4 linked regions of the Rhinolophus ferrumequinum genome follow. The protein of the gene in region 1 purifies or fractionates together with the protein of each later gene. This does not show direct contact. Links are inferred from orthologs where the notes say so. Each region holds a gene or a part of one and is shown in the gene's direction. Other genes may lie near its edges.

Region 1 (7,824 bases):
GGACTTGGAGCTGAGCTGCGCCCTCCACAACTAGATTGAAGGACAACGACTTGGAGCTGATGGGCCCTGGAGAAACACACTGTCCCCCAGTATTCCCCAATAAAATTTAAAAAAACAAAAGGTTAAAATGGTGGGGCAGCTGGTTGGTTAGAGCGTGGTGCTCTAGCAAGATTGCCAGTTCGATCCCCACATGGGCCACTGTGAGCTGTGCCCTCCACAACTAGACTGAAACAACTGCTTGACTTGGAATTGATGGGTCCTGGAAAAACACTTAAATAAATAAAAGTTTTTTTTTAAAATGGTTACAATGGTAAGTTTTATGTTATATACACTTTATCAAAATTCTAAAATTCCCTTACTATTGTTTTGGTGGGATTTCAGAAGGGAGCATAGTTACATGCATAGAAGTTTCAGGGATTATTTAGAAGAGAGTGTTTTATTTGCCAGGTGTAGTTGGTTTGCTGGTTTTATTATTTTTAGTGTTTTAGAGTGTCATCAAAGAATGATGTATTAATTCCAATTCTTCTATACTGGAGTCTATTGACATTTTCTTTGTGCCCTAATGCATGGCCTTTAATAATCACAGTCACTACTGCTTATTTAGTGCTTGCTGGGCATGGCTCTAAGAACATTACCTACAATATCCACTGTAATTCTCTTGACATCTGTGTAAGGGGACTAGTCCCATTTTCTAGTTGGGGAAGCTGAGGCTCAAAGAAGCTAAGTTATGTGTTCCCAGGTACATAGCCAGGAAGTGGCTGAGTTGAACTAATACTAATACAAATAGAAGCTCCCATTGAGGAAGGGGCTGTTTATAGGTTGCCAGGCACTGTAAGTTCTACAATTTAATCTCTTTAACAACTTTGCATGGACACCCAATCAGCCCCATTTTCCAAATTGGAAAGTGAGGTCCCACGGCTGGGAATTTGAACCCAGGCGGGGTTCAGAGGCTGGGCTTTTTCAATAGCACCAGCAAAGGGTGGTTCAGTCCTCTCAGGGGCAATTGAGAGGGGACAGCAGACCCTTTGAGAAATGGCCTATGGTGGCAATGGAGCCAGGAGAGGGTGAGCAGAATTTTGCTCCTGGGAAGAACAGGGATGGGGGAATGCGAGCGTTTGCAGCAGGGAGAAATGGGGGCAGAGGAGAGGTCCCGGGCAGCCTCTAGACCCCTCTGCCATGGGGGCTGTGCCAGGCCTGCCCTGGTTGGGAAGGATTTGGAGCTGTCCACCCTCAGCAGGTGGGGGGCTGGCCCTGTTAGTGAGGCTGTGGACAAAGTCACCTCCTGCCTCCTTCCAGAAAGGATCTGAGGCAACTTTTAGAAATTTGTAGGATAAAAACAGCAAGCAAGCAGAAAATGAAGGAGAGGAATAGAAATCACATAAGAAGAAGAATCTAGAAAGCAGGTCAGTACATAGAAAGTCATTCTGTGAGCTGCCTGTGGGAAAATTTCACCGGAAGGGAAGGGTGGCAATTAATGTCACCTGTGGGCCCTCTAGTGGGCAAAGATGGAAAGAATACTTAATTCAACATACAGTACTTAGTATTATGCATCAGTGTGGCGATAGAGTTAGAAGGATGGGCTCTGAGATTCTGTGTGTCAGAAAGAGAAAGGGACTTGCTGAAGCTCGCAGTAGCTGAAGCCCAGCAGCAGGTCCTGCGTCATTTCATGACATCACAAGTACTTCCAACCTTCCCCTGATTGGATGAAACGTCATGAAGCAGGTAAGCATGGGGCAAGGGGGAAAGCATGGACCCACTGTTCCCTCGTGAAGTTGGGAGAGTTCCTCAGCTTCTCAGGGCCTCAATGTAAAGTGGGGGTTATCATAGTGCCCACCACTTGAGAATGGTGATAGATGTCAAGAACATACAGTGGTACTTGTCCCAGGAGGGGTTCAGAGTTCTCCGAAAGGAGAAACTAAGGTCCAAAGAGGTTGACAAACCTGTCCAACGTCAGCCAACTCAATAGGGAAGGGAAGAAATGAATAGGGTTTGGAGAAAAGTTTTAAAACTTCCTCCTCCAGATAGGAGGGGATGTTATTGTTAGTAATGGTGTATTTGTCGGGAGAGGTTGTTTCTCTCTCCAAGTGGGCTTGACCGTCACTGGCTCTGCTCCACCCATCCTGGAGCAAGGGGCTCCTCCTGGGCCCGGGGTCTCAGAGGGCCTGTGTGGACTACACGTGCCCTAGATGTGACTGTTCTAGTTCTAGACACAGCTCTGAGTGTTTGATAGTGAGTGTGATTCGAGTAGGTGGCCAGCTGGATTCAGTGGTGGAGATGAAGAGGGAAGCCCCCGAGAAGCCTCTCTTCCCCACTTCTGTCTTCCACCTCTGCAGGCTGTAATTATCTAGCCTTTGGCATTGAGCTGTGTCTCTTATTAGTATTATATTTTTAGCTCTCCTGACAAACTGAGCTATGGGAGAGGAGGCCCAGGCCCACAGGGAAGTGGCGGAGAAATTGGCTTTGCCCACTGTCCTAAGTTTTCTCATCTTTACTTGGGGACAGTTGTGGAATCAAATTGTTAGGAGAGTTCAATGAGTTAATATGTAGAAGAGCCTAGTACAGTGCCTGGTTCATGGCAATTATTAGTAGTAGTAATATCATCCTTCACAGTTCAGGCTGGATGTCACCTCCTCCAGGAAGCCATCCCTGAGTTTCCCAGATTGAGTTTGGTGCCCAAGTCTCCTATACGTCCCTGGTCCTTCTGAGCTGTGTTATAATTGTCCTTTTATTTGCCTCTCTCCCACACTTAACAGTAGTCCCAAGGAGAGGTTGTACCACTTCGTGTTCACTGTTGTATCCCCAAAATGGCTGGCTCAGATAAGAGTGACAAATATATTTTAGGCGAGTGAGTAGGACTTATGAAGCACGTATTCTGGGGCTCTGGGACCAGTCCCTCAGCTCTGCCACTCAAACACTGACTTAAGCTTTTGGAGTTGCAGTTTGTCCCTACCCAGATAAAATGGGGCTGATGTGAGGAGCAAATGAGACCCTCTGCCTACCGACTACGGGCACATAAACATTCATTGTTGTTTTGCAAATTCAGATTAAATGCCCTCCAATTGTCCAGACCTCCCCTGGTCCTTTCAACCCTGGGGGAACTTTAGTTCCTGCTCTGGATTCCCATAGCCCCAGTGTATCCCCTATCACATTTGTGTCTGCAGCTCTGTTACTCTCCCTGGACAAACTGTAGGTTTAGCAAGGGTAGGGCCAATAATACCAGCACGGGCCAGGGAGCTGTGTCCTACACAATTAGACTGAGAAACAACGGCTTGAACCTGAGTGGGGCATTACAATATAGTCACAGGGATGTTAAGTACAGTGGAGGGAATATAGTGAATAATATCGCAATAACTATGTAATAGTGCTAGATGGGTACTAGACCAATTGCGGGGATCACTTTGTAAATTATATAAATGTCTTACCACTATGCTGTACACCTGAAACTAATACAAAATAATATTGAATGTCAACGCTAATTGAAAAATAAAAGTAAAAAGTATGTAAGAAAAAATAAAAATAATAAAATATTTTAGAAGACAAAGTTAGAGATGTGTACTTGTGTTTAATAAGGCCTTTTTGCTAATTAAAGTCTTTTATGCCCATAATGGTGTAATTAAAATGTTAAAATGTGATGCTCTCATTCTATTAATAGCAGTTTATCTTCCTGGAATTAAGATGTAAATAACAAACCCAAAAAACATTTACTTAAAATATTTTCTGGGTTAATTGCTTTAGCCCTGACTACTAAATTCTTTGTTCCTAAAACGAAAGAAAGAAAAAGGAAAGAGAAAGAAAGGGAAAAAAAAGAAAAAAACTATAAGGAGGAGAAAGTTAATAGAACAAGTGGGTAGTGAAGTGGCTATGGGAATCAAAGTCCTGGCAGAGCCAGCAAAAGGGAAATGGGGGGGCCGGCCCGGTGGCTCAGGCGGTTAGAGCTCCATGCTCCTAACTCCTAAGGCTGCCAGTTCGGTTCCCACATGGGCCAGTGGGCTCTCAACCACAAGGTTGCCAGTTCAATTCCTCAAGTCCCGCAAGTCCCTGCAACTAAGATTGAACACGGCACCTTGAGCTGAGCTGCCGCTGAGCTCCCGGATGGCTCAGTTGGTTGGAGTGCATCCTCTCAACCACAAGGTTGCCAGTTCAATTCCTCGAGTCGAGATGGTGGGCTGTGCCCCCTGCAACTAGCAATGGCAACTGGACCTGGAGCGGAGCTGTGCCCGACACAACTAAGACTGAAGGGGAACAGGACTTTATTGGGGAACAGTGTGTACTTCCAGGCCTGTTTTCCAAGTAAAGTTGTTGTCCTTTCAGTCCTAATGAAATCTTAAAAAAAAAAAAAAAAAAGGGGAAATGGGACATTATGAAGTTCTCTTTGGATAAAAGTTCCTTGGAGGGTCTAGTATTTTCCCCCTACAATGCAGAATTTCCAAAGGGCTGCACTGAAGGGGAACAAGCGCTAGACTAGACTTGTAGCTCTAGTTTTGACTCGTCCATTCATGAGGTGAGTGATCTTGAGCAAAACCCTGCCCCTCTCAGAGCCTCAGTTTTCCCCTCTGCAACACAGAAGGAAGAGATGGACCTCAAAGTCTCTACCCTTTTTTCCATCCACGTTAAATTACTGAGCGGTTAGGGGGCTAATTTTTCTCAGCGCTCTACAGGAGACATTGGCGAAGCCCTGCCGCGGCTAAGAAGGGGTTAATTCCGAACGGTTCCGCCCCCTTCTGGCCCCGCCCCGCGGACACCACCTCCCGCTAGGGTGACACCTTTGACCCCGCCCCCAGGCTGTGCGTCCACCGGAAGTGCCCGCGCGCGAGCAGCTCACTTCCGCTGGGCAGGTGACAGCCGCGGGGCTCGGAGCAGCTGGCGGCAGGGACGCACCGGGAGAGCGGGAGGACGAGGCCGCGGACATTTTGCTGCCCAGCCGAGCCGCGCTGTTTTGCCAAGAGCCGTTCGCACCTGCGGGTGAGGAAGCGGGGAGTCCGGCGAGGTTGGAGAAGAAGTGGGCGGGGAGTCGGGGGTCTGAGGTGAGGGGTGTACGGGGTCATAGGTCACGGAGGTGACGGGGCGCGCGCGAGGGGCGTAGAGTGGCTTCCCAGGCTCGGACGAGCCTGAAGGACTGCGGGTTCATTCATTCGCGCCTCCCTGGCCGCGGGCCTGCACTCCAGCCTCCTCAGGTCCGCAGCCCCTCCTGAGGTGTCCTCCCAGAGAGACTTCTAGACTTAGGCCCCGAGGAGCCTGCGCCGGGCCAGAAGGGAAACTCCCCTTCGGGTCCTCGTATCCTCCTTTGTACTCACCCCTCTGGCCATCCTGAGGCCTCCTCGTCGTTCAGGTCCTTATCTCTTTGCCAAGGTTCGAAAAGGGGGAAAAAAAAAAGAAATCAAGAAACAGCCGCCTGCTCCGTGGTGGCCTTGGGTTTGGTCTGTGTGTCGGTGTCTCATGGACAGGTTAACTGAGGGCATCTGTAATAAGACTAAGAATACGGAGGCAAAAGCTCGCTACTGGTTATTGAGCCCCTGCTGTGCGTCAGGCGCTGTGCTAAGTCCTCTACTTGCAAGGCAGCACATAAACTTCACAACGACTTGTGCGGTAGCAAGTGTTGTTATCCCCATTTTATCAGTGAGTAAACTGAGACCCAGAGAGGTTAAATCACACGTGGTAAGGTCAATCGGGTAGTACAGGCAGAGCCAGGGTTCCTACTCAGGTTTTCAGGGCCCCACAAAGTGCAGAGCAAAAAGACGCTGCATCAAGGTCGGGGTATAGGGGTTATTTAATATCTTTAATTATCATTATATTTCTTGGCACCTACGTAAAGATGTCGCCTTATTGCTTCTCATCTAACATTCTTAAGGGGCCTTTGATTCACCTTCTTGAGGACGAAACAGCCCTTCAGACTATTGCTGTGATAACCTTTCAGGGCCAGTGGAAGTTTTTCCTGACTCTTGGGAACCATGAGACACAAAACAAAAAATCCATGACTCTAATTTAAGACGATTCAGAAACTCTCCTTGAGAGGGGTTGAGCTGCACTCCTTTTGGAATAAAGAGACGAGCTACATGACCCCGAGGGGATCTTTTGGCCCTAGTTCTTGAACAACATTCTCAAAAGAAGGGTCTGTGTCCCTCAGAAAAGTGCCGGCCCCATAACTTTTTGGCTGGGGAAAGCACGTGTGGCCTGGGATACCGGGAGGTGGTTTGGTGGGCTGAGAACTGGGCTCTGTGAGGCTGCGCCTTCGTCCTGTACAGACACTTACTTGCTCCGCTTCTGTCTCACTTTCCCTGACGGTAGCATGAGAAAAACCTGCTGCCTTCCTACCCACTCCTGCGAGTTCCAAGACTTAATGAACCCGTGAAGGTTTCCACATGCCGCTGAAGAAAGCTGGGCTGTAAATACTACTGTAATACCTTTTTTTTTTAACTTTATGATCCGTTCTCCTAGTTGCACAGAATTCACAGAAACTTAATATTGTCACCTTATCCCTCTCCTTCCAAGAGAGGATTTGAGATGAAGGGACTTGTCACAGATGTAGGAACATGAGCAGAGCTCAGAGCATCTGACTCCCTGTCCCGAGTTGAGCCCACCAGGCTCCCCTGATCTCTTAGAAACTCGTGAAGAGCAGCTTCACTGGTTCTCAAAGACTCGGACCCCTCCGAGGTTATGTAGGGACGCTCTGCTGAGTGTGGGTTGAGCAGAGGGCTCGTGTATAATGGAAAACGCACTCCCATGTCCCCATCAGGGAACCCTGGGTCCCATCCCCAGCTCAGCAGATTCCTGGTAGTTTGCCCTGGGCAATTGATTGAGGCTGGGCCTCCCTTACCTCAGCTCTAAAATAATCCTGGCCGCCACTTTCCTTCCCCTGCCCCCAGCACTGGTGGGTATTGGGGTGAGATGAGGAAACTTGTACAGAGCCTGTTATTGTAGTGGGTGCCTTAACCCGAGGCAGTTGATGCCTGCTGGGGGCCTGTGCCTGGGGAAGGCTGTCACTCTGGTTTGTGGGGTGTTACTTACTTCTGCAAACAGAGATCTTTATATACACAGGACTTCTATCCTTCTGGTTTCACTTCCTAAAAGTTTTCAGAACAAGTGCAGTCTGTTAGTCCTGCTGGCTTTGGGCTTGGACTTACATCTTTTTCTAGTCATCCTCTGAAACTGTTGCAAGTCTTAATTGCTCACTTCCCAGAAAACCCCACCGCCCAGCCCCAAAGCCAGAGGTGCTGACAGTGTGCAAACATGGCTTGGGTATGGGTTTTGCTCTTTGGTGTGATTCTGTAAGCCGAGGGGGCCTCTGTTATTTGAAGATGTTTCTTTTTCTCAACAGGTCTTTTTAGCTAAGATAGGTCACGGATAAATTATCACAACCCAGAAATGGTTTTTGTATTCGTTTTCTCTTCACGCACAGAGGAACAAATAGCTCCAGAGAGAAAATGTCACTCGAGCACTTGGGGGATCCTTTTTAAAAAATCCTGCTTGCATATCCACGAGTGGTTCCTCTTTTCCCTCAGGCTAAACTCACATTCCTTAGCATTGCATCCAAGGCCTTTTGGGCCATGACCCCTGCCTGGCTCCTACTCCACGCTTCCACCTCCTCCCAGGCTCCAATCAAATTCAGCTGCTTTTCTGCAAAGCTCCAACTCTTTATACCTCTGTGGCTTTGCTTTCTGCTGTTCCCACTGCCTGAACACCATTTCCTGTGACCATCCTCCTTTGCTGGACCACTTGTTGGTGCCTCCCATCTGATCAATACCCCCTACCCTGCAGGCCTGAACTAGATGCTCTTCTTTGATGTGGCACTGTTCACAGTGGGTTGTTATTGCTTGCTTGGCTCTC
Region 2 (7,829 bases), on another chromosome or scaffold:
CAGTATGAATGAATAAAAAATAAATAAATAAGCTTTATGCCCAGTGAAAAAGGCCAGACACCTTTGTGTGAAGTTCTAGAACAGGAATAACTAATTACTTTATGATACCAGAACATGATTAGCGGTTGCCTTTGCAGGAGGTAGTGACAGGCAGGGCCACGGGGTGGCTTCTAGGGGACTGGAAACAATATTGTGGTTACACAGATGGGTTCAGTTTGTGAGTTACTTGACTTTCTTATATGCTACATTTTAAAAATGGAAAATTTTAAAATAATTTAAGAAAGAAGGAAGTGGCTCTGCAGGTTATAACAAGAATTGATGTTTGTAGGGAGCTTATTCAGCATTAGGGGAGGAATTAAGTGCTTTATATTAAATCTTTATATCCATTTTCCAGTTGGGGAAAGGGACACAGAGAGGTTAGGCAACTTATTAAGTGCTTTTCATTAAATGCTTGCAACCATTTTCTAGCTGCGGAAAATGGCACAAGGAGGTTAATTTACCCACAGTCACAGTTGGTCGGCGTGGGGCTATACATGTCTTAGAGCCTGACTTCACAACCCACACGTGGTCCCTCAAGCACAACCCTGACAGTGTAGCCCAGCTGGGCTTCTAGGTCCTACTGGTGAGTAAAAATAGCAAGTGGTGTTTAGTGTTTAGTCATGTATGGTGAGAGAAAGAGAGAGAGAGAGAGAGAGAGAGAGAGAGAGAGAGAGAGAGAGAGAGAGAGAGAACATCACACACACAGGCGCGCACACACACACACACCTTCATGAAACTAAAGAGAAAAAGATCCGAACACTCCAGTGGTTGTTAGAGGGAGCAGGATGGAGTGGGGCCAGCAAAGGGGACAAGATTTTCTGATCTGTGTTCTCTCTCTCCCTTTTTTAATCGCAGGGACTATTTATTTGTTTCTCGGGTAATTAAAACCCTATTTCAAAAAAAATAGATTTAAACAAGCCAGTCACAAAAGGACAAATACTGTATGAATCCACTTACAGGAGGTTCCTAGAGGAGTCAAATCCATAGAGACAGGAGGAAGAGGATGGTGGTGCGCGGGGTTTGGGGAGGGGAGGGGAGTGAGTGTTTAATGGACAGAGTTTCAGTGTGGGAAGATGAGAAAATTCTGGAGATGGATGGTGGGCACGGTTACACAACAATGGCAATGTACTTAATGCCACAAAACTGTACATTTAAAATGAATAAAATGGTATGTTATGTATATTTTACCACAATAAAAGTTTTTAAAAAATAGATTTTAAAAAATAAGACGTAACACAGGTGACAGGGGACAGTTGGGAAAGCCCAGAGGAGGGATCTGACCTAGACGTAGCATGGGAGCTCAGAGAGGGTTTCCTGAAGCAGACACCTGAGAGCTGAGTGAGAATGAGGTACAGAAAGCAAAAAGGGGCAGGTATGCACTGAGCGGTCAGGTGCCAGAGGAAAGACAGAAGGACAGAGAGGAACTGACATTAGGGAAGTCAGTGTGTCTTGGGTCAGTGGGTTCAAGTGGTGCCTCATGGGAGAGGTCAGCAGGGGTCTAACTGTGCCAGGCAGGGCAGCTCTGAGCAATGGGGAGCCATAGTGGATGAGAGAGTGAGGGTGGGTGGTAAGAGCGGTGAGTTTCAGAGCGATTCCTTTAGTGGTGTAGAGAAGGGATTGAATGGGGTGCCTAGAAGCGGGAAGCCTGAGGGGAGGCTGGGCAGCCTATAGGCACAGAGGAGGAACTGGGGCAAGGCCACAGGCCCTTGGGACAGGGGAAGCTGCAGCTGAGGCGGGGCAGCTGCTTACACAGAGAAGCTCTGTTCTCTGACCCCACTGAAGCTTTTGGGCTCATAAATTTTTCAGCCAAACAGGTCTTGAGTTTCAGATTCCAGGGCGCCTGGCCCCAGCTTTTGCGTCCTATTTACTGCCTGAAAACATCCCAGGGCCCCAGGAGAAGGGCCCTTGTGAGGTTCCGTGATGCCAGGGCTGGGGCTGGCAACATGTGAAACCCCCGAGTCACCTTCTGAGCTTGGGACTGGTAGGATCATGGAGGACATCCCTCTTTTGGGCAGAGCCAGCATAAAACCTTGGGGTTTGCTGGGCTAGAATTCCAGCTCTGCCACTGCTAGCAGGTGACTTTGTATAAGTCGCTCACTCACTGAGCCTCAGTTTTTCTCTGTCAAATGATGATAATAGGTTTCCCTAATTCTAAGTGTTGTTTCTTGGAGGGGTTCCTGTATGGGAGACTGTGAGGGCAGCACCTGGGTAGAGTGAACCCCACAGAGGCCTGATCTATTGCTGGTCATAGTAATACTTGTACCCCACGATGCAGCAGAGCAGTTGGATGAAGGCTGGGACGCTGCTTATGAAGACTCAGATTCAAATTCTGACTCTGCTTCCAGGCTGTGTGGCCTTAAGCAAGTGGCTTCACCTCTCCCTGCCCCCGCTTCTTCTGATGTAAGAAGACCAGGTCTTCCTCTCAGGTCCTGAATTATCAGGAAAACCATAGTTGGGAAGACCAGAGTCAAAGACAGCAAAAAATAACAAACTTAAAAGAAAAAAAAAAAAAGACATGAAGAAGTACTGGAAGATAAGTGCCCAACGAATGTGCAGGACTGCCGTGGTTATTGTGTTATTGTCAACGACAGATGCCAGCGGTGGGGGAATGGGGAGCTCTGAGAGCCGCAGCTCTCTCTCTTCCTTCCCTCAAGTCCCCTGCAGGGATGCCCACTCCACCCCGCAGGGGCTGAGGAAGGTTTGGGGCTGGCTTTGGGGAAGGAGGAATGAGGCCTGGGAGAGCTGAGTGTCCTCCCCTGCAGGCCTGCAGGACGCTCTGTGAAGCAGGATTTGTCCCAGCCAGGCTGAGATTGAATTTCCCTTTTCTCTCCTCCCCCAAACTTCCCTGCAGACCACATCCCACAGTCATGGAGTGGAACCGGGGTCCACAGTAGTTGATGTGCAGGGAGAAGAGGCACTGTGCCAGGCATGAGTTATGCCCAGAAACTCAGTGAGCATAGCCTGTGGCAGCAACACCATGGCTGCTATGCCCATTCAACAGAAGGGAAGACTGAGGCACAAGCGGTGCAATCACTAACCCAATACTCCACAGTCAACAGTAGAGTCAGGATTCAAACCCAGCACCTGTGCTCTTAACTGCCATATAGTAAATACTAATAATTATAGCAAATAATAACAACATTATTAAGTGTCAGCTACATCCCAGGCATTGCCCCAAACATCATGTTGCATGTAAGAACTCATGCAATCTACATTATAACTTAATTAAGAACGTGCAGTTACCAGTTGTATTTCACAGATGTGCAAACTCAGATCCAGGGAGAGGAGGCCAGGTGCCTGAGGCCACCCAGCTGGTCCATTGCATACCCAGGACTTGAGCCCAAGCAGCTATAACAAGCGCTCAACAAGCATATATAAACAATATATAAACAACAACAAAAACAATATTGGTACCGGCTTTGTGCCAGGCTCTGCACTGGGAATCTTTCTCTTGGGTTGTCCCGATTCATTAGGTTGTAATGGAAATTTTTCAAATGCTAGCCCTTTCTCTGATCTCCCTGCCCACAGCCCCTTATTCATTCTCCAATGCGCACTCTCAAACCCTGCTGACAGTTCAGTTGCCTCATCATTCCCGTCCTCCCTCCTCTCCAGGGATCATCTTATTTTGGGGTTTTTATTTTTATATTTTATTTTTTAAAAGATTTTATTGGGGAAGGGGAACAGGACTTTATTGGGGAACAGTGTGTACTTCCAGGACTTTTCCCAAGTCAAGTTGTTGTCCTTTCAGTCTTAGTTGTGGAGGGCGCAGCTCAGCTCCAGGTCCAGTTGCCCTTGTTAGTTGCAGGGGGCGCTGCCCACCATCCCTTGTGGCAGTCGAGGAGTCGAACTGACAACCTTGTGGTTGAGAGCCCACTGGCCCATGTGGGAATCGAACCGGCAGCCTTCGGAGATAGGAGCTCGGAGCTCCCACCGCCTGAGCCACCGGGCCGGCCCAGGGTTTTTATGTTGTGTGTCTGTTGCCCTTCCTAGAATGAGAGCAGTGGAGTGGCTTTGTCTATGTCGCCATCCCTAGCACACAGAAGGTGCTCAATAAATACTCACTGAGTGAATCATCAACAGTATCATCACCATAATGAAAGAAGCTTCTATATGCTCAGTGCAGCACACAGTAGGTGCTCAATAAATGTTTGTTAAATGAATAATATTATCGTCATAATAGTAATAACCATTTATCTCTTCAACATTCTATCAACATCTTAACGTCACACAGTAGGAGCTTATAAATATTTTTGGAATGAATAAGAGTAACATTAGGATAATAATAAAAGCAGCTACATTTATCCTACTTGGAGTGCAACCCACAGTTCCTTTCACTGAGTGAAAGAATGTACTAGTGAGTAAATATCTGAGTGAAAGAATAATTCATAAATTTTTATTGTATGAATGAGTGAAAGAATGAATGATTTGGACAAATATTATTGAGCGCCCAGTGCTGGGCATTGGAGACACAGACGTGAACAGGACAAAGTCCCAGTCCTATTGGGGCTGACATGCGTGTAGGAAAGTCAGAGGAGGAATAAGATAAATGGATGGATGGGTGAAGGATGGACGCATGGATGAATGGATGGATGGACGCACGATGGATGCATGGATGCATGGATGGACGGTCTAGGGTTTCCACCCATCAGCACTCCTGGGTGTGATGGGAAAGTGAGGCAGGGCAGCGGTCCCTTCTGAAGCCCTGCCCCTTCCAGCCCCCGCATTCTTCTTGTACGCCGACAGCGCCGCTCACCTGGCGGCCTCCCCTTTAAGACTCACCTGTGCGCGCTCACCTGCGCGCGGGCGCTTCCGCAGGAAGAAGGAAGCAGCGCCGCAGTCGTCTCCTGACCTCCCTCCCCTCCTCCTAGATCTGCTCGCTGCCTCCATGTCTGCCTCGGCTGTCTTCATCCTCGACGTCAAGGGCAAGGTGAGGCTGGGTGCAGGGGTGGGGCGCAGGTGGGGGAAGCACAGGTGAGGCTGCGCTCCCCCGGACCCAGGGTCGGCTCCTCCGAGCAGGCAGGGAGGCCCCAGAAAGCCCTGGGGCTTGCGAACACTTCCTCCACCAATCCCGGGGAGTCCCCGGTACAATCCCATCTCCGCTGTTTACTAGCCGCGTACGTGAGGCAAGGGGCTTTGCCTCTCTAAGTCTCAGTCTCCCTATCCTTGGAAATGGGAATAACAGAGGTTCCCACCCCATAACAGTTAATACAACTGCGTGTAAACCACTTAGCACAGTAGTCTTGCTGCAAATATCAGACTTTCAAAGACAGAAATCGTTATTTCTATCACCATCATCATCCACAGTATTAATATTTGGGGAAAACAGCAGGAGCTGGGAGACCCTAATTCCCCTTTGGGGTTGCCTTGTCCCTTTCTGAGCACCCTCTCATTCATCTTGTCATTCAATAGCAATAATAACAGTGGTGGTGAAAATAACATTCCTGATAATAATAATAGTAAGAGCTAAGGTATTTGAGGACCTGCCGTGTACCCTCCCTGTTCTAAACACAGGACTAAACAACCTTACCAAGTAGATGCTATTATTATTGACTGCTTACTGCCTGCCAGACACATCTGTATGAGCTGAAAGAGAGATATGGGCGTACTTTTTTTTCTTTTCTTTCTGTTTGGCACAGTCTTTTTCTTTTACTTTTTTCTTTCTGTAATCTTTCTTTTTCTTTCTATAATCTCTCCTTCCTTTCATCTTTTTTTATCCCAACCTCACCAGTTTGGTGCATATGAAGTCCTGGGCAAGAGCAGGAGTTCTGGAGCCCGGGCACCCTGGTCCATCTCCCAGTTTCCCAGTTACTATGGACATGGTTCTTACTTCAGTTTCCCCATGTGTACATGTCTACCTTACAGGGTGTGGTGAGAACTTGATCAGCAAGCAAACATCCAGTCTTTAGTAGAACAGGACCTGGACCTCAGTGAGGGCTCTAGACACATTAGCTATGGTTATCATATACCCATTTCACAGAGAAGGAAACTGAGATGCAGAGAGGCAGAGCCTTGCTCAGGCCCCTCGACCAGGAAGTAAGGTCAGAACCAGGCACTCTGATGTCCCTGGGTGGAGGGTCCTGGGATCCCAGTGGTGACTGGACCTTCTCTGCCCACCCTTAGCCCCTGATCAGCCGCAACTACAAGGGCGATGTGGCCATGAGTGAGATAGAGCACTTCATGCCTCTGCTCATGCAGCGGGAGGAGGAGGGCGCCTTGGCCCCGCTGCTGAGCCATGGTCGGGTCCACTTCCTGTGGATCAAACACAGCAACCTCTACTGTATCCGGCTACAAGTGGGATCCGTGGGGGCTCAGGGTGTTGGCAGCTTAGACCCAGAGAGGGTAGGCTGAGGACAGCAGTTGCATCGCACATCGGTGGAAGCTCAGGCAAGAGTGGGGTGGAAATAGGCAGAGATGGGGGAGCTGATGGGGGTAGGGTGGGGGGTTCAGGATCTGTGTTCCATTTGATCCCTTTCCCAAATGGCACCTTTTTCTTAACCTCGCTGCCCACAGTGGTGGCCACCACGTTGAAGAACGCCAATGCCTCACTCGTGTACTCCTTCCTCTACAAGACAGTGGAGGTAGGTCCTGGCCTCCCATTGGCCTGCTGGTCTGTGTGTCCACCTGTCTTGCCTGCCTCTTTCAGGATCCATCTCTCATAAGAAGCTTTGCCTGACCTCCCTGGGGGTGCCCCCATCAAAGCCCCATCACTCTGTGTTCTCACTAGCTGCTATGGGATCATCTCTCTCTATAGGGCAGGGATCTAGGGGGTCATTGAGAGGGTGTCAGTGCTCATATATGAGTCAGAGGGAACTGGGTTCCAATCCCAGCTCCCTCCACTGCCTGGCTGTGTGACCTTGAGCAAGTCACTTCTCTCTATGCCTCTAAACTGGGGGTTACAACAAGTCCTGCCACAGTGTTGTACAAATTGATCAAATTCATACCTCTAATATGCCTAAAACAGTGCTCAGTATACAATAAGTGCTCAATAAAGGTTTGGTGTTGTTAGCTTTATCACTAATGTTATAAAATCATATAATGATTTATTGAGTGCTTACTATGTGCCATTCTCAATGACTGAGAAAATGCTTAGTCAATACTTTTTAACAAGAAATATCTATTGGTTTGTCTTTTCTCTGTCAGACAAAGAGCAGACACAGCTATGCATTTCCCTGTGTCCTGAGGAGACATAAAGGAGATCAAACAGGAGAATATTAAATCAGTGACCGGGATGTTAATGTCACCATAGCCTGACACTCATGGGAGGGGGCCTCACTGAGGAGGTGGTATTTGAGCTGGTTGACAAGCAGCCCTCTGTGAGGCAAGCTGGGGGAAGAGTGTCCCAGGCAGACAGAATGGCTTATGCAAAGGCCCTGGGGTAGGAATAGAAAGGTCAGTGAGATTGAAGCAGAATAAGGATTGGAGGGTGGTTCAAATCTTGGTGATTGACAGGTTTCTGCTATGGTTATGCCTACTAATTCCCAGGGGCTCCTAACTTGGGGTTCCCAAACCTCCACGGGCCTGTAGTTCATGAACTTAGTCATATTTATGTATAACAGATTTCCTTTGCCATTCTATTTTATTTTATGCATTTACAAATCTTATTCTGAGGTGGGTCTGTGAATGTCACCAGATGTCAGATATGCAGGGATCCATGGCCCGCAAAAAAACAACCGTAGTTCTGAGTCCTTCCATTTCCTCTTCTGGGAAGTTTTCCTGGAACTCCCCACCTCTGAGCTCCTACTTTCCTTGTGTTTTCCTCATTATTGTACCCAACATGTTGGATTATATTA
Region 3 (6,964 bases), on another chromosome or scaffold:
CTCTGTGGTGGGAGCTATCTTGTACATTGCAACACCATCACCAACACCCTCCTCCTCCCCATTGTGACAACCAAAGTATCTCCAGACACTGCCAAGTGTCCGCTGCAGGGGCGGGGGCGGGGGGGGGGGGGGGGGGGGGGGGGAGGGGGGAGAGAAGGAATTGGGGGGGAGGCAAAATTGCCCACGCTGAGAATCATTGTTCTTACCTAATATCAAAAGGGAAGAGTCATTTTCCTGCATTTTATTGAAATCTATGGAAACAGGCTTCAAGAAAGAGCATATGTTACACATTTCTCTTTAGCTCATTGTTGAGAACTTTGGCAGTGACAGCTCTATTTGAGATGCTTTGGTTAACAAATCTTCATTATTTTAGGCCACTTTTCTCTTAGAAACAACTTTATCGTTGAAGATGTAAATTCACAAGCTCTAAGCATCTTTTTTACACTTATTGTGATCACTGATTCAGCACTAAATTTCATTACAAGGCATTTTTACTTAGCAATCAATTTCTAAGGAATACAGTATAGATTAAAGGAACTCTGCATGAGTTTACAATATAGTGTTAGCACTAACAGAAAGGTTTTTATCTACTACAACATTTTGAAAATACCTAAGTAAAACCCGCACTAAAGTAAAATATAATAATAACCTTTATTAAATCCTACGAAGATTCTGTCCCTGGAAAAAGAGTCATTGCTTCTGGAATTTACTTCCTGGTACCTAAGAACACAACAATAATTCTATTTCTTGATTTATGTTAGATGTTATGTTTTCTTACTGTCAGTGTGTGAGAAATTAGCAATATTTCAACATCCCCTACTTCTGTTCCTCAATATTCCCAATATAAACACATTATAATTTTTACTTAAATTGTCAGTGTTTAATAATGAGCCTACAGTGTACCCTGACATGGTTGTTGACATTCTCATGCTAATGTCCCCTGTCTCATTGTCCATGTGAATAGATACTTCAAACTTTCCTCTTTTTTTTTAATTTAAAAAAAAATTAAAAAAGGGAGAGGAGATAAAAAAAGCATATGGCCGTCCACATTTAACAGGAAACTAAAACTATTTTTGAAAACTTTTAAAAGATTACATAAAAAGTCTCAAAACTTTATAGTTAGAAGGTAGACGCCCTATTTCACACTCACTTCTTGCATTTAGCATAAATGAAAGCTAGGTACTTTTTTTTTTTAAGAAACAAGTGATATTAACTAAACTTATTGTGGTGATCATTTTGCAATACATATAAATATCAAATCATTATGTTGTACACCTGAAACTAATACAATATTACATGCCAATTATATCTCAATTAAAAAAAATAAATAAAAGGTAGGTTACCAGAAACGCTTCAATTCTTCCCCTTCTGTACAGGGGGACAGGGTTATCTTTCCTACTTAAGGATAAATCTGTTCTTTTCTCTTCTGACTTTGCTGAATTTTCCTTTATCTACATGGGCCATTGAAATTGGGAAACATCAGGCAGCCTTGAATCAAGAAACTACATGTTCTTGTTCCATGAAAAATGGTTTTGTAATAAATGTCTCCTGTACCCCCCAAAAAACCTAAAATCTGATTTTTAATTTTTCATGGAAAATATTTTTGTGCCATCATTAACAACCAAGAATTCAGGACCACCCAGATAACAAAAGCAGAAGATTTAAAAAGATACCTTCTTCACATGATAGGCGAATAAGAAACTAGGTGAGAAAAACATGCATTAACAAAGCCCACAATTTAAAAACTGTGGGAATGAAAGTCAAGCAGTTAACTACTAACAAAGATAGTAACAGAGCTTCTTTTGTCTTTCATGGCGAATGCATAATTAGCACTTAATACTAAGACTGGGGAATAAACCATCTATAATCTACTAAAAAAAGACCATCTGCTTCTATAAATTTTGTTCTTATACACTTGCCAAAAGAAGAGAACACATTAACAATGGGCTCTGCACTGTTAATTGCTAGGTTGTTTGCATTTGTGCCGTTGCTATTAGAATTTAATAAGCCATTCCTTCTGCTAAATTAATAAGCAGCCAAGATTATGTAATAGCTGCGTTCAGTCGCTAATTATTTTTCCCATAATTCCTTTCCCTTCCTACCTCCAACACCCACCTTTTCTTGCCTTAGGAACACGAGACTGCCGATATCAGCAGCAAGTCTTCCGTCCTCATATTCAGAAGAGACCAACATTAGGAGCATGACCAATGAGTTTAAACTTGGAGGTGGTTACATCAGGAAGCTCGAGAATATATGTTTTATACAGACAAAGAGAAAAGCAGCATTTGGATTCAGAGGGCGAGTTTTCATGGCATGACATCTGTTTTGTGTAGTAAGGGAGAAATGAAACATTAATATGTGCCTTTGGGGCAGATTGGTCAGGGAGCAGAGAAAAATTTGGGCAGGGAGGCTAAAGACCTACAGAAAGTCAGCTGTGCTTTGGGTGGACTACCTCCAATATTCCAGTATAGATTAGTCATACATGTTAGTAGGAAATTTTCCAAGCAACATAGTATGCTTAAAAGAGGAGGTATAATACATTTTTTATTTTGCCAAATAAGGGCACTAAAAAATGTCCCCAAATCCGTGTTATGTACTACCTTAGTTTTATAGACATTTTAACACGCAAAAAGAACATCATCCCTAATAAAGGATTCCTTTAAATTGATTACATTTAGTTTCATGAAAAACTTAGCATTTCTTTTTCACTTTGAGTCATTAAAAAATTCTGGCGACTATGTTTCGAAACCTCCGCAAAAAGGACGTAACTCAACAAAAGCAATTTTCCAGCTTCCTTTTTAAGAACCTTGGTGACGGGTAATGAATAGCTTTCGACTTGAGAAACCCGTGTCTGTTCAAGCAAGGTCACTTAATCCCGTGGGGCTCCTCTTTCCTCATCTGTAAAAGATAGAGTCGGACTAGACGATTCACCCTTTCTTTCATTCAAAAAAATACGGACATCCATTAGGTGCTAGGAACAATGCTCAGTACCACGGCTCTTAACAAATCTATCATTTTATAGTCCTTTATCGGTCAACTCAAATTTATTAGTTGTGCTATATACCAGGCAGTGAACAAGGCTGGAATGGAAAAATGAATACAATTCAAGATGCGCTAAACAGAGGTTAATGGGCATGTGGGTGAAAGAGATTCGTTCTTACAGAGTTTGAGGGTGAGGCTTCATAGGAGATTGACATTTGAGAGGAAGGGCATGCCAGGCAGAGTAGGTCGTCAGCAAGGCTAAACTGGAACCCCGGCGGCTGTGTGTGTGTGGGGGGTTCTCCGTATGAAGGAAGCGGGATTTCGAAGAGGAGGTGCTGTCTGGGCTTTTCAGCAGAGAATGGACATCAGGTCCTCAGCACTGAGGATGGGCGAGGTAAGCCCTGGGTAGAGACACTTGTACAGCTTGGGGTGAAACGTGTCTAGGGATGTAGCAGTAGAAGGGAAGAAGGGGCCGGATTCCCGACAGTTTTGAGCCAGAATAACTGCAAAAGGCCCGAGCTCCAAGGCAGAGCTGACTTGTTTTCCCCAGAGTTGCAGCACTCCTCTCCATTCACCGTAATCAGCAACTGTCACGCCTCCCTGTCCCACCCTCTTGGGGCATGGAGAGTTATCCGAACTCGAAACTTGGCTCTTCGCAGTCCAAACCTTCCCTACCCCACACAGCGGGGTCGACAAAAAGCACCGGAGGGTCGACAAAGGGCGCCGGCCGAACGCTGTCTTCCCGCCGCCCAAACAGCCAGGGAAGCCCACCGCGCGTCTCAAAGGCACACCCAAAAGTGCGCAGGCGCGCCGGCACCCCGCAGCCGCTTCCGGGTCACGTGGCCTGGCTTCCGGTCCAGACCACCCCTCTTGGTAGAGACGCGGCCAATCGGCTTCCTCGGGCTGCGCGGTCAGCTGTGCTGCCTTCAGGGCCGTTGGTGACAGCCGAGCTTCTTCCCGCGCGTCTCCCAGCCCGCCCCTCCGCTCGCTGCAGCCCCGGCTCCTCCCTCGTCCGGCCCCCGGGGCGGGGTCTGTCGGCCTGCCCTCCCCTCGCCGCCTAAGCCTTCCCTTCGCTAACCGGGTCCCCTCCCCACAAGCAACACGGCTTCTCTTCCACAGCTCAGCGACAGGGGCTTCCCCTCAGCCTCAGCCTCGGCCGTTGCCGCCGCCGGCCGAGCCTCGCCGCATCCGCGGCCTGCGGCCGCCGTAAGTCCCAAAAGGCGAACAGGAGCGCCGGGGACGGGGAGTGGGGTGGGAGGGTTGGGCGCGCCCCCAGCCGCCCCGCGAGCGCCCCAACGACCCCACCCCGCGCCCGCCTGGTCCGCCACTGGGGCGCGGCGCCGGGCAACTCACTTTTCTCGGCGTCCGCGCCCCAGGATGAAGGGGCCAGTCACGGACGCTGCGGTGGCCCCGCGGCACCTGTGGTTCCGGAATCCCCTCAAGTTTTGCGGGGCATTTTCGGGAGGGGCCGGGGGCGGGGGCGGGCGAGGACCCTTGGCGCTCGCTGCGCGGCGGCGGATGCCATTGTCTGCTCCGCTCCTTTCCTGTCACCTCGCCTGGGCTCGGTCAGTGATGGAGTGCGGCCCCGTGGGGCGGTGGGGAGGCACTGGAGACGGCCGGTCCGAGGAACGCTGGCCCCGAGCCCGCTCCGTGGCTGAACCCATTGTTTTTAATACCAATCTCGAGGAATTGAGGTGGCCTGTGATTTGCGGCAAAATCAAAGCATTAGTTTTTAACAAGAGGGAATGAATACTTGTGCCTTGCAACCGAATATCGTCCCATATTAGCACATCATTTATTTTGAAGAGTGAATTATTTATTTGTCCTATAAAGTGGTAGGGAGAGGGATACAGGACCCTGCTACAGACAGCCTTGAAGCCGATATTCCTTTCGAAAGCAAACCCCCACCCCTCCTGGTCACCGAGATCCTGGAATACGGGTCTATTTTCCAACTTCTGATAACGGGTTTGCATTAAACGTTGTCCAGTTGATGCTTTACTTGCCGTCCCCTTCGAATGCCGCTGTCTTAACAGGACTTGTATGGGAGGCACTTTGATATCACGAATATTGTTCGTTAATTTTGTGGCAGTGAAGCGTTTTAAGTGAGGTGTAATAAGACAATTTTAACTTTAATAAAGTTAAATTGCCGCATCATAAATTTCTAAATGTCTTGCTGATGCCTGTTTGGATTAATGCAAAAAGCGGCAATAATTTCTTAGCGAGATGTAGGGCCCATTTTATTCTAAATTGGTTGTGTAAATTCTTCCACCCCCATGTTCAAATTCAAGATGGTGTGGTGAATATTAAGAATCATGCTGGATTCTTATTTTCAGTAACACTATTAAAGGAACTTACAATAGTTCAAAGAAAAAAAATACCTGTCTGGATTCTACTTTTAAATTACCTCTGTAGAAACAATGCTTATCTGTTTGCGGTTGAGAAGACCAGTTGAATTACAAGCTTTTCTTAAAGATTAAACATGTAGATTAATCAACAGATTTTATATACAAAATAATTTTAAATGTAAAATACACTAGAATTCAGCATCCATTCCATCTGTAAATGCTATGTGTTTTTTTTAAAATGAAATATTTCGTGTAATGTCTCTGAATGTGTGTAACTCTTATTTTGGCTTTTTAAAGGTTTATATTCTCTTTCATAATATTACATTGCCACTTCTTTATGATGTGCATATTTATGTTGGAATTTTTAAAAAGATGAGAAGAGATACTTAAAAATTAGGCTTTTATTGAGAAAAATGTGCGTTTATGGGATGTTTTTTCTTGGTTAATATTTTAGGTCTTGTTTTGCTTAAAACATGTTAGCATAAACCGAAGAGAGCATTCCAAGTGATAGTAGTCTGTCTACACATAATTCATCCTGGAACTAGAACAGCCTCAGGGTAAATCTCCTGTTTCTTTCAAATGCACCTAAACCAGTTGAGGTCAACAATTCTCTTTTGATGCACATGGAGAGTGTGGAATATAATATAGCACAGGTAGACAATAGTTTCTTAAATTGCAAGTTAATCTTTTTCCTCAAAATTTTCACTCCAAGTTAATGCCTGTGTTTCTTATGTTCTACTGACTCCAAACTTAGGTGGAACAGGGTGGAGTGGGGAGATTTGCATTTGGTGGGAAGATCTTTGTACAAGAATTTCTTGCTACTTTAACTGGCTTAGAAATGTTGATGACTACTAATCATTTGTCAGTTAAACACCCTGCCCTCCCAAAGCTTCTCTATGAAACATGTTATCTTAATCTTAACTTTATTGTATCAAAGTATTGCATGTAATTTTGTTTCTATTTATCTTAACAGATGCAGTTTATGTTGCTTTTTAGTCGTCAGGGAAAGCTTCGACTGCAGAAGTGGTATGTCCCACTATCAGACAAAGAGAAGAAAAAGATCACAAGAGAACTTGTTCAAACCGTTTTAGCTCGGAAACCTAAAATGTGCAGCTTTCTTGAGTGGCGAGATCTGAAGATTGTTTACAAGAGGTATGATTTTTATTTCTCAGAAAGGTGAAATAGCAGAATCAAATGTGTTTGGTCATTTGTAATGTGGAAATTGCAGGCTTTTGAGAGATGACATTTATAAATAAGGATTAAGAAAGATTTAGATGAAAACGGTTTCAAGTTAAAGCTTTGTATTTTTAAAATAACTGTTTTGATTGATTACCCAGGCTAAAATGATAAAATCACAGAAGTAGTTTTAAAACTAATTATATAATTAAAGCATAAATGATTATTCATGCTTAATCATCTTTTTAGAAAAATTCAATGAATTCACTCCTTTGCAAGGGAAAATAGGATCAGTATTTTAAATTGTGTGAGTAATTCTCTAAATTTAGACAAGCATTCACCCCCCTTTCCTTTTCCCCCAAAATCTATAAAGTAATGGCTGCTAATTGACATGCCTTTTATCTGACTTTTAGAATCTTACTTATAAACACCTTGGATACATAGACCATTTCAGTCATATA
Region 4 (6,922 bases), on another chromosome or scaffold:
TATTGAGTACCTAAGGAGAACAGACACCAAAAAGCTGAAACACTATGTGAGTCACTGCAGAAATGATTGAAAGGAACACTGTAGAAATGATCACCATTGAGCATAATGGCTCATCAGGAGCGGCTGCTTGATTGAAACTTAAAGGATGAGTAAGATAAATTTAGGTCCATGGGGAGGAAATTTATGTCCATGGCAGGGCATTGCAGAAAACAGTGTGAACAAAATCATAAAGTAAAAATAATAGCAAGTCAGGTTCAAGGAACACACCGGAGGATAAAATCCCAAGTCACCAGGTTGGTTAGCAGACTGCTGCCTTACTCCTCTGATTGCACAGCCAGAGGGAGTTGTCTCTCCCTCTCTTCCATTTACCCTCTCCTAGTCTGGTCAGGCAAGTCTTATCAGTGTCCCTTGAATAAGCCATGCTTTTATGTTGCCGTCATGTCCCAGATAGATAGTCCGTAAGCCTAGGAAAAACCAGTGACATTGACCACAATGGGAAAGCAAGAGATGGGATGGTTTCAGGAAAAGGTAGGAAGAAGGAACTCTTTTTGGCAAGTGAAGTTTGACATGACAATGGAATTTTCAAATGGGGATCCATTATACATTTATTCCACAAATATCAGATGCCCACTGTGCCAGGCATGGTAGAAACAGCAAAAGAAGACAGTTTATCATCTAGCAGGAATAATAGATAGTAAACATGTACTATTAAATATGAAAGTAAAATGTAGCATATTTTGGATAAGTAAGATTTAAATATCTAGATTTGACAACTATATATACGATCATAAATGAAGCCAATCAACAAGCACTGCACAGGGTGTTGTGAAGAAACAAAAATTGAATAAGACACCATCCAATGAGGAGCTTACAATCCAGCTGGAGAGATGAGACTGACACACATGAGACTGACACACACACGTGGCCAATGGACTATATGGCATGAGTGGTACCAATGGCAGTGTCATGTCCATGGAGGGCACTAGTGTGATTTGGGGCCACTCCACTGCTACCCCAGGAATCTGATTGTCTGACCCTCTGCCAGAGTCTCGCCTGCCCTCCATCGTCCCATCCCCACCTCATTCCCTCCTGGACCTGCTGGGTGCACAGATTGGCCAAGTCCAGCAGACATGCCCAGGCTATGGGTACAAAGAAAGCTGTAAAAGCCAATATCTGGACATTTTAAATGCTACACTAGGAGACTGTTCTAGCTCCCCTAGACTCATAAGGCAGATATTCCTAAACCCTAGGAAGGGGGTTTAGAACTTGGGAGGTGAAAAAGAATGGCAAACATCTACCACAGAAAGTATTTTTAATTGTCAGGACTGCTAGGAACATCATATAAGATCCCAACTGCTTGGTTAAAAAATATGAAAATCCAGAGATGACTGAAAATGACATTATTAGGGACCTATGAACTATTTAATGTGCAAAAAATAGGTGCAGAGAGCATCACTAGCGGGAGAAACTCAGATCACAGACTTATAGAGATGAAGGGCTTCAGAGGCCACCTGGGCCACTCTTCTAACCACTGCAGGAACCACCTCTCAACCAGATGAGGGAAGACACCAGGAGGTGTCAGCATGGTTTGTAGGGTGACAACACAAACACCGTCCGCATCTATAAGGAAGAAGCTCACCTCTTCCATTTTGCCATGTATACAAATGGCGCCACTTTGATTCTTCTCTACGTCGATGAGTTATCACTTTCAGTTGATTGGCCCGTTACAGGCATCCCTTCGATTTGTCCCTCTCCATCTCATCCTTGTGCCTGGACTCCCAAAATTGCCTCCTAGATGACCTTCTAGCCCTCCATTTGTCTTTTCAAATTGTCCCCCACATCAGTTTAAGATTAATTTTCTTAAAACTGTTTTCACCAAGTTATTCACTTGCCCAGATGACCATAATGACTCCCAAACTGCCACTGAATGAAATGTGAACTCATTTGAGGACACAAGCCATATTAGATCCACTAACTCATAGATCCTCTACATTCACTGATCATTAACAATGAAGAAATCCAGTCCAACGTCTTCTCACTAGTTTCAATCACTTGAATTCTATGATTCTACATGAGCTAAACCCTTATTTCTAACAATTCTCTCACGAATCTTATCTTTTCTGTAGCTAGGCATGCCACATTGAGACAAGGAATTCTAGAAAGTGCCAGCTTTCCCAGGAGTGTAGGAGTTTACATCTCTAGAGCTTCTAAACTTCCACAGGCTGTTGCCTCATTCTCTGCTTTATACTCTTCCCTCACTACTCATTACTTTCTTATACACAACCTCTCCTCACCCCTGTGAAAGAGAACACACCTCTTTTTACTTTGTTATGCCGTCTGCCCTTCTTACACACTCCGATTCCTTCTTTTCACTCCATAATGATTTACCCTTTCTAAATCTAACAATTTGCTTCATTGATATTATTCTTGATCTTAAAAAAAAAAACACACACCACAAGATAGTTCAACCAATGTCTATGCCATTGCCAAGACTAAGGTATAGGCAGAGGAGAAAGGGAGATGAAAAAAGAAAGGAAGAATAAAAAGTAGTAGGAGGAAGAAGTTGGGAAAGGGAAATAATGATAATTGCTGTCATTAGCAAGTGTTTAAAGTGTGCCAGGTACTTTCTATACATCCACAGAACCACCTGGCAACGTAGGTATTTCTATCCTCATGTTTAAAATGATGAAATGGAGAGTTAAATGACTCACCTGAGGCTAGTAAGGGTCAGAGACCAGATTGCATCCCAGGTGAATTAAGACCATCCTCTTGCAACTACAGCATAGTATCTCCATACCAGAGTAAGAAAAGAACATAAAGCGGAGACAGGTAAGATCTTACCAACAATTGCTTCAAGTGCCACTGAAAAATAACAGCACCATTACCGTGTTTCCCCGAAAATAAGACCTAGCCGGGGAATCAGCTCTAATGCGTCTTCTGGGGCAAAAATTAATATAAGACCCGGTCTTACATTACATTACATTATATAAGACCCAGTCTTACATTATAGCAAAATAAGACCGGGTCTTATATTAATTTTTGCCCCAGAAGACGCATTAGAGCTGATTCCCCGGCTAGGTCTTATTTTCGGGGAAACACGGTAGTTACCAACAATTATCTAGAAATAGCCATTAAGCTTTTAGCGTGACAAAGTTTAAGGTTTTCTCTTATATGCAAACTCCTTTATTATAGACACACACTGGCATACACACTCACACATGCACATCCTCAGCTAAAAAGCTTGTATTACAATTTACATGCTCCTGATCTTTACACTTGTGTCTGGATTATATCCGTTCCTTTTTAGTTTTGACCCATGCTAACATTTTAAGATTCTCTTTATTTCTCCCCTTTCTCCATAATTCATGTTTCTCCTCCCTTTCCTTACATCATTTTTATATCAGCTCTTCCTTTTATCTTTTATTCTCATCTCCCTCATTACCTACACATTTCTGTTACTTTAAGAGTGTGTTCACCTAGCAGGTAGATATCTATTTTGAGTTCTATACTTTCCTCACGTCTGCCCCCCCATCCTTTGTCTTTCAGTCTTCCTCGTCATTCCTCCTTCCCTACATCCAATTCCCACCCTGGTCCCTCTCAATCGCCCACATCCCTCTCATTAGCCCCTCCCCCTACTTCTTCACAAGCCCCAATGATCCTCCCATCCATCTCGCACCCCTTTTCCCGCCTTTTCCCCCCAAGGTTCCAAAGCGCGAGGACCTCATTGTCCTCCCCCATTCTCCATCCAGCCCACAGGACAGCCCTGTTACCATGACGACAGAGCTACTCAAAGCTGAAGTCAAGGACCTGGTTGCCATGGCTTTCGCTTTTCCGCCTCCATCCCCGCCCGCGCGCCCCGCAGCGTTGGCGCCTGCGCAGTGCTCATGTGAAGGGGCGGAACGGGGCGGAGCTTCAAGCCAGAGGGGCGGGAAGAAGGAAAAAGGATAAGAAAGGGAGTGGAGCTGGCACCTACGGTGGCCGGAGAGGGACGCGCCAAGCCGGAGGGTGCAGGATGGTAGGCTGTGCGAAAAGGGAGGGGAGGGGGAACCGAGGGGCGTGGGCTGCACCTGCGGGGGTCCTTGGGGGCCGCCGTTTGTGGGAGCCGCTCTTTCTTCCTCTGTTCCTCAGAGGCCCTCACTTTCCTGGGCGGGTGGGACAGCCGGCCTCGGAAAGGAGCAGCTGGAAATGGCTTTAGGGAGAAGGGGCGGGAAGAAGGCATATTAGTGGGACGAGAGGGGCTGATTTAGCGGTGGCTGGACCATCCCGAACCAGGGGGAGCGCACGGGTCGCGATCCAAGGCGTCTCGGCCACTGCCGCAGGGAAGTCGCCCGAGGAATAGGGGCACGAGGGCCTGTTGGCAGCGGGGGAGCGCGGGTCACACTCTGTCCCCGTGCGGTCCTGAAAGGAGTGGCGCCCGGTGGGGTTAGCCTTGTGTGGGAGGGCATAGTTTCCAGGTCCGAGGAGTGGACGTCCTGCCTCTGTTTATCCTCCGGCTCGCCTAGAGCCTGGGTGAGGTGGGGAAGCTAAGTGGGCTCGAGGTCTTGCTCGTGGGGACCCAGGCTTTGGAATCCCGACTCCGTGCTCTTTGCTCTCTGCCCCCACCCCATTCTCTTTCCGGAACCCCGGCCTTCCGTCTTCCTGCCCGCCCCTGCCCCCATCTTAGACGCGCACGGCTCTGTTGGGCCCCTCTGTTGCCTTCCCACTATGCCAGCAACGCTTCCCCTCCCTCAACACCAAAAAAACCTTGACTTCTGATCTTTAGCCCACTAAATTAGTACTGTTCCACACACCCAGGGATTCCGGCCCTGGTAATATCCGTGGAGAGGAGAACTGCAGGGAGAAGGCGATAACTCCGGGATGTGGCCTGGACCCCCTGGAACTGAGTAGCTGGGGACACACAGGGTATCGAGGGCTCTGCACCCTTCCCCGCTCTACCCAGCTTGGGCTTTGTTCCACAGACATTCCCTAGGAGAGCCGCCTTGGATTGCTGTCCTAACTGAGGAACTGAAAGGGAAATTGGTCACCTGGTATGGGGGGGGGGGGCAGTGAGCACGCAGGGAGAAGCACCATAAAAAGAAGAGAGGAGTATCAATGGCCAAATGTCTGAATGGCGAGGAGAGAGAAGGGTGGAATTTGGGGATCCCAGTGTCATGTGCTTATCTGAAGGGTACTCCTTGGCATAGGACTGCATGGGAGGGCAGCGTGACTAGCATGGAGTGGACAATTGAAGTAGCTTCTCCAGGGACAAAAATACCCGATTTTAGCATGGTGGTGGATAGAAGGGGCATGGAAGAAAGCAGACATCTCTTTGGCATCACTTATGGGCTACTTGTTTCTGTGCTAGGCACTTTACCTACTTGGGAAAAACGGTTAGGAAGCAGGAGATCAGAGAATAATAGTAGTGCTGCCTAATGTGTTACAGTGCTTACCATGCCCCAGGCACTATGCATATGTCATCTCATTGAATCCATCCTAACAGCTCTGTAAGGTAGGTAGTTATTATCTCCATCTTCACACAAGGAAACAGGTTCATCGACAAAGTAATTGTCCAAGGCAAATTATTTAACTAGTAGAGCCAGGATTTGAACCCAAATGGCAGACTCAGAAGCTCTGACACCACGCCCCCCACCAGAAGGAAAGGCACCAGCTGGTGGGAATACCCAGAGTTGGGAGCAATGGCTGATTTTTTAAAGAAAGTAGAAGCTGTGAGTGAAGAGTTAGATAGGATGAGGTTGGGGCTGTGTGTTTTTGAAAGCAAGAAACTCAGAGAACCAAATCTCTGCCTCTCCCCCCATACACACCAGATGCGATTCATGCTGCTGTTCAGCCGGCAGGGAAAGCTGAGGCTGCAAAAATGGTACCTGGCCACGTCAGACAAAGAGAGAAAGAAGATGGTTCGTGAGCTTATGCAGGTTGTTCTGGCTCGCAAGCCTAAGATGTGCAGCTTCCTGGAGTGGAGGGACCTCAAAGTCGTCTATAAGAGGTGACTCCCACCTACTTTCAGAGCTGCCTGGATCCTGCTTGATTGGGTCTGGCAATGGATTTAAATGGCTGATTAGTAAGTGGCCCCTAGGTCAGGGAGAACTGGGAGCGAAGGACATCTGGAGGGCAGTGATGAACTCCAGCTTCCTTTCCTTTTCACACTCACCTTGAAGAAAGTCCTGTTCCTTGGTTTTGCTCAAGTCTGACACCTACCACATACCTCCGTCCCAAAGTCCCTACATGTCTCTTGCTGTCTCATTCAACAGTCATAAATCCTGCGCCACTTTTATTTTTTTAAGATTTTTATTAAAATACAGCTAATGTACCTCATAGAAATTCAACAGTACCCACCTGGCACTATACAGAGTTATTACCACATTACTGATTATATTCCCTATGCTAAAGTGATCATAAGTCAGCCACCATCTGACACTGTACCACGCTATCACAATATCACTGACTATATTCCCTATGCTGTATATTACATCCCCAAGACTTGTTTGTTTTATACCTGGAACTTTAAACCTCTTATTCCCTTTTATCTTTTCCCCCCGTTTTTAAATTTTCAGTTACAGTTACATTCAATGTTATTTTATATTACATTTCAGGTATATAGCATCGTGGTTAGACATATAATTTACAAAGTGATCCCCCTGACTAGTACACTATACATAGTTATTACCATATTACCGACTCTATTCCCTATGCTTTGCTTTACATCCCCATAACTATTTCATAACTACCAGTTTGTATTTCTTAATCTCTTCAACTTTTTTACCCTGTCCCTAACCCTCTCCCATTTATCACCCCGATAGATCTAGTCCCCATCTGACACCATACATAGGTATTACAATGTTATTGACTACATTCCTTATGCTGGACCCTACATCCCCATAACTACTGTGTAACAACCAATTTGTACTTCTTAATCCCTTCCCCT

Evidence for each region.
Region 2: the proteins of AP1B1 (region 1) and AP1M2 purify together in Homo sapiens (affinity purification with mass spectrometry; 3 studies listed by BioGRID and IntAct, counting the BioPlex papers as one, with this or other methods). This does not show direct contact. The link is inferred for Rhinolophus ferrumequinum from reciprocal best matches to the Homo sapiens genes AP1B1 and AP1M2.
Region 3: the proteins of AP1B1 (region 1) and AP1S2 purify together in Homo sapiens (affinity purification with mass spectrometry; 5 studies listed by BioGRID and IntAct, counting the BioPlex papers as one, with this or other methods). This does not show direct contact. The link is inferred for Rhinolophus ferrumequinum from reciprocal best matches to the Homo sapiens genes AP1B1 and AP1S2.
Region 4: the proteins of AP1B1 (region 1) and AP1S1 fractionate together in Homo sapiens (co-fractionation; 6 studies listed by BioGRID and IntAct, with this or other methods). This does not show direct contact. The link is inferred for Rhinolophus ferrumequinum from reciprocal best matches to the Homo sapiens genes AP1B1 and AP1S1.

What each region holds. Positions count from the first base shown.
Region 1 is NC_046308.1:18,833,312-18,841,135, reverse strand, and holds the start of AP1B1 (AP-1 complex subunit beta-1), read left to right. Parts: upstream 1-4,805; 5' UTR 4,806-4,962; intron 4,963-7,824. UniProt on the Homo sapiens protein: Subunit of clathrin-associated adaptor protein complex 1 that plays a role in protein sorting in the late-Golgi/trans-Golgi network (TGN) and/or endosomes.
Region 2 is NC_046301.1:39,729,061-39,736,889, forward strand, and holds the start of AP1M2 (AP-1 complex subunit mu-2), read left to right. Parts: upstream 1-4,808; 5' UTR 4,809-4,924; coding exon 4,925-4,966; intron 4,967-6,159; coding exon 6,160-6,316; intron 6,317-6,549; coding exon 6,550-6,617; intron 6,618-7,829. UniProt on the Homo sapiens protein: Subunit of clathrin-associated adaptor protein complex 1 that plays a role in protein sorting in the trans-Golgi network (TGN) and endosomes.
Region 3 is NC_046284.1:114,702,749-114,709,712, forward strand, and holds the start of AP1S2 (AP-1 complex subunit sigma-2), read left to right. Parts: upstream 1-3,956; 5' UTR 3,957-4,188; intron 4,189-6,300; coding exon 6,301-6,479; intron 6,480-6,964. UniProt on the Homo sapiens protein: Subunit of clathrin-associated adaptor protein complex 1 that plays a role in protein sorting in the late-Golgi/trans-Golgi network (TGN) and/or endosomes.
Region 4 is NC_046290.1:91,232,443-91,239,364, forward strand, and holds the start of AP1S1 (AP-1 complex subunit sigma-1A), read left to right. Parts: upstream 1-3,908; 5' UTR 3,909-4,012; coding exon 4,013-4,015; intron 4,016-5,804; coding exon 5,805-5,983; intron 5,984-6,922. UniProt on the Homo sapiens protein: Subunit of clathrin-associated adaptor protein complex 1 that plays a role in protein sorting in the late-Golgi/trans-Golgi network (TGN) and/or endosomes.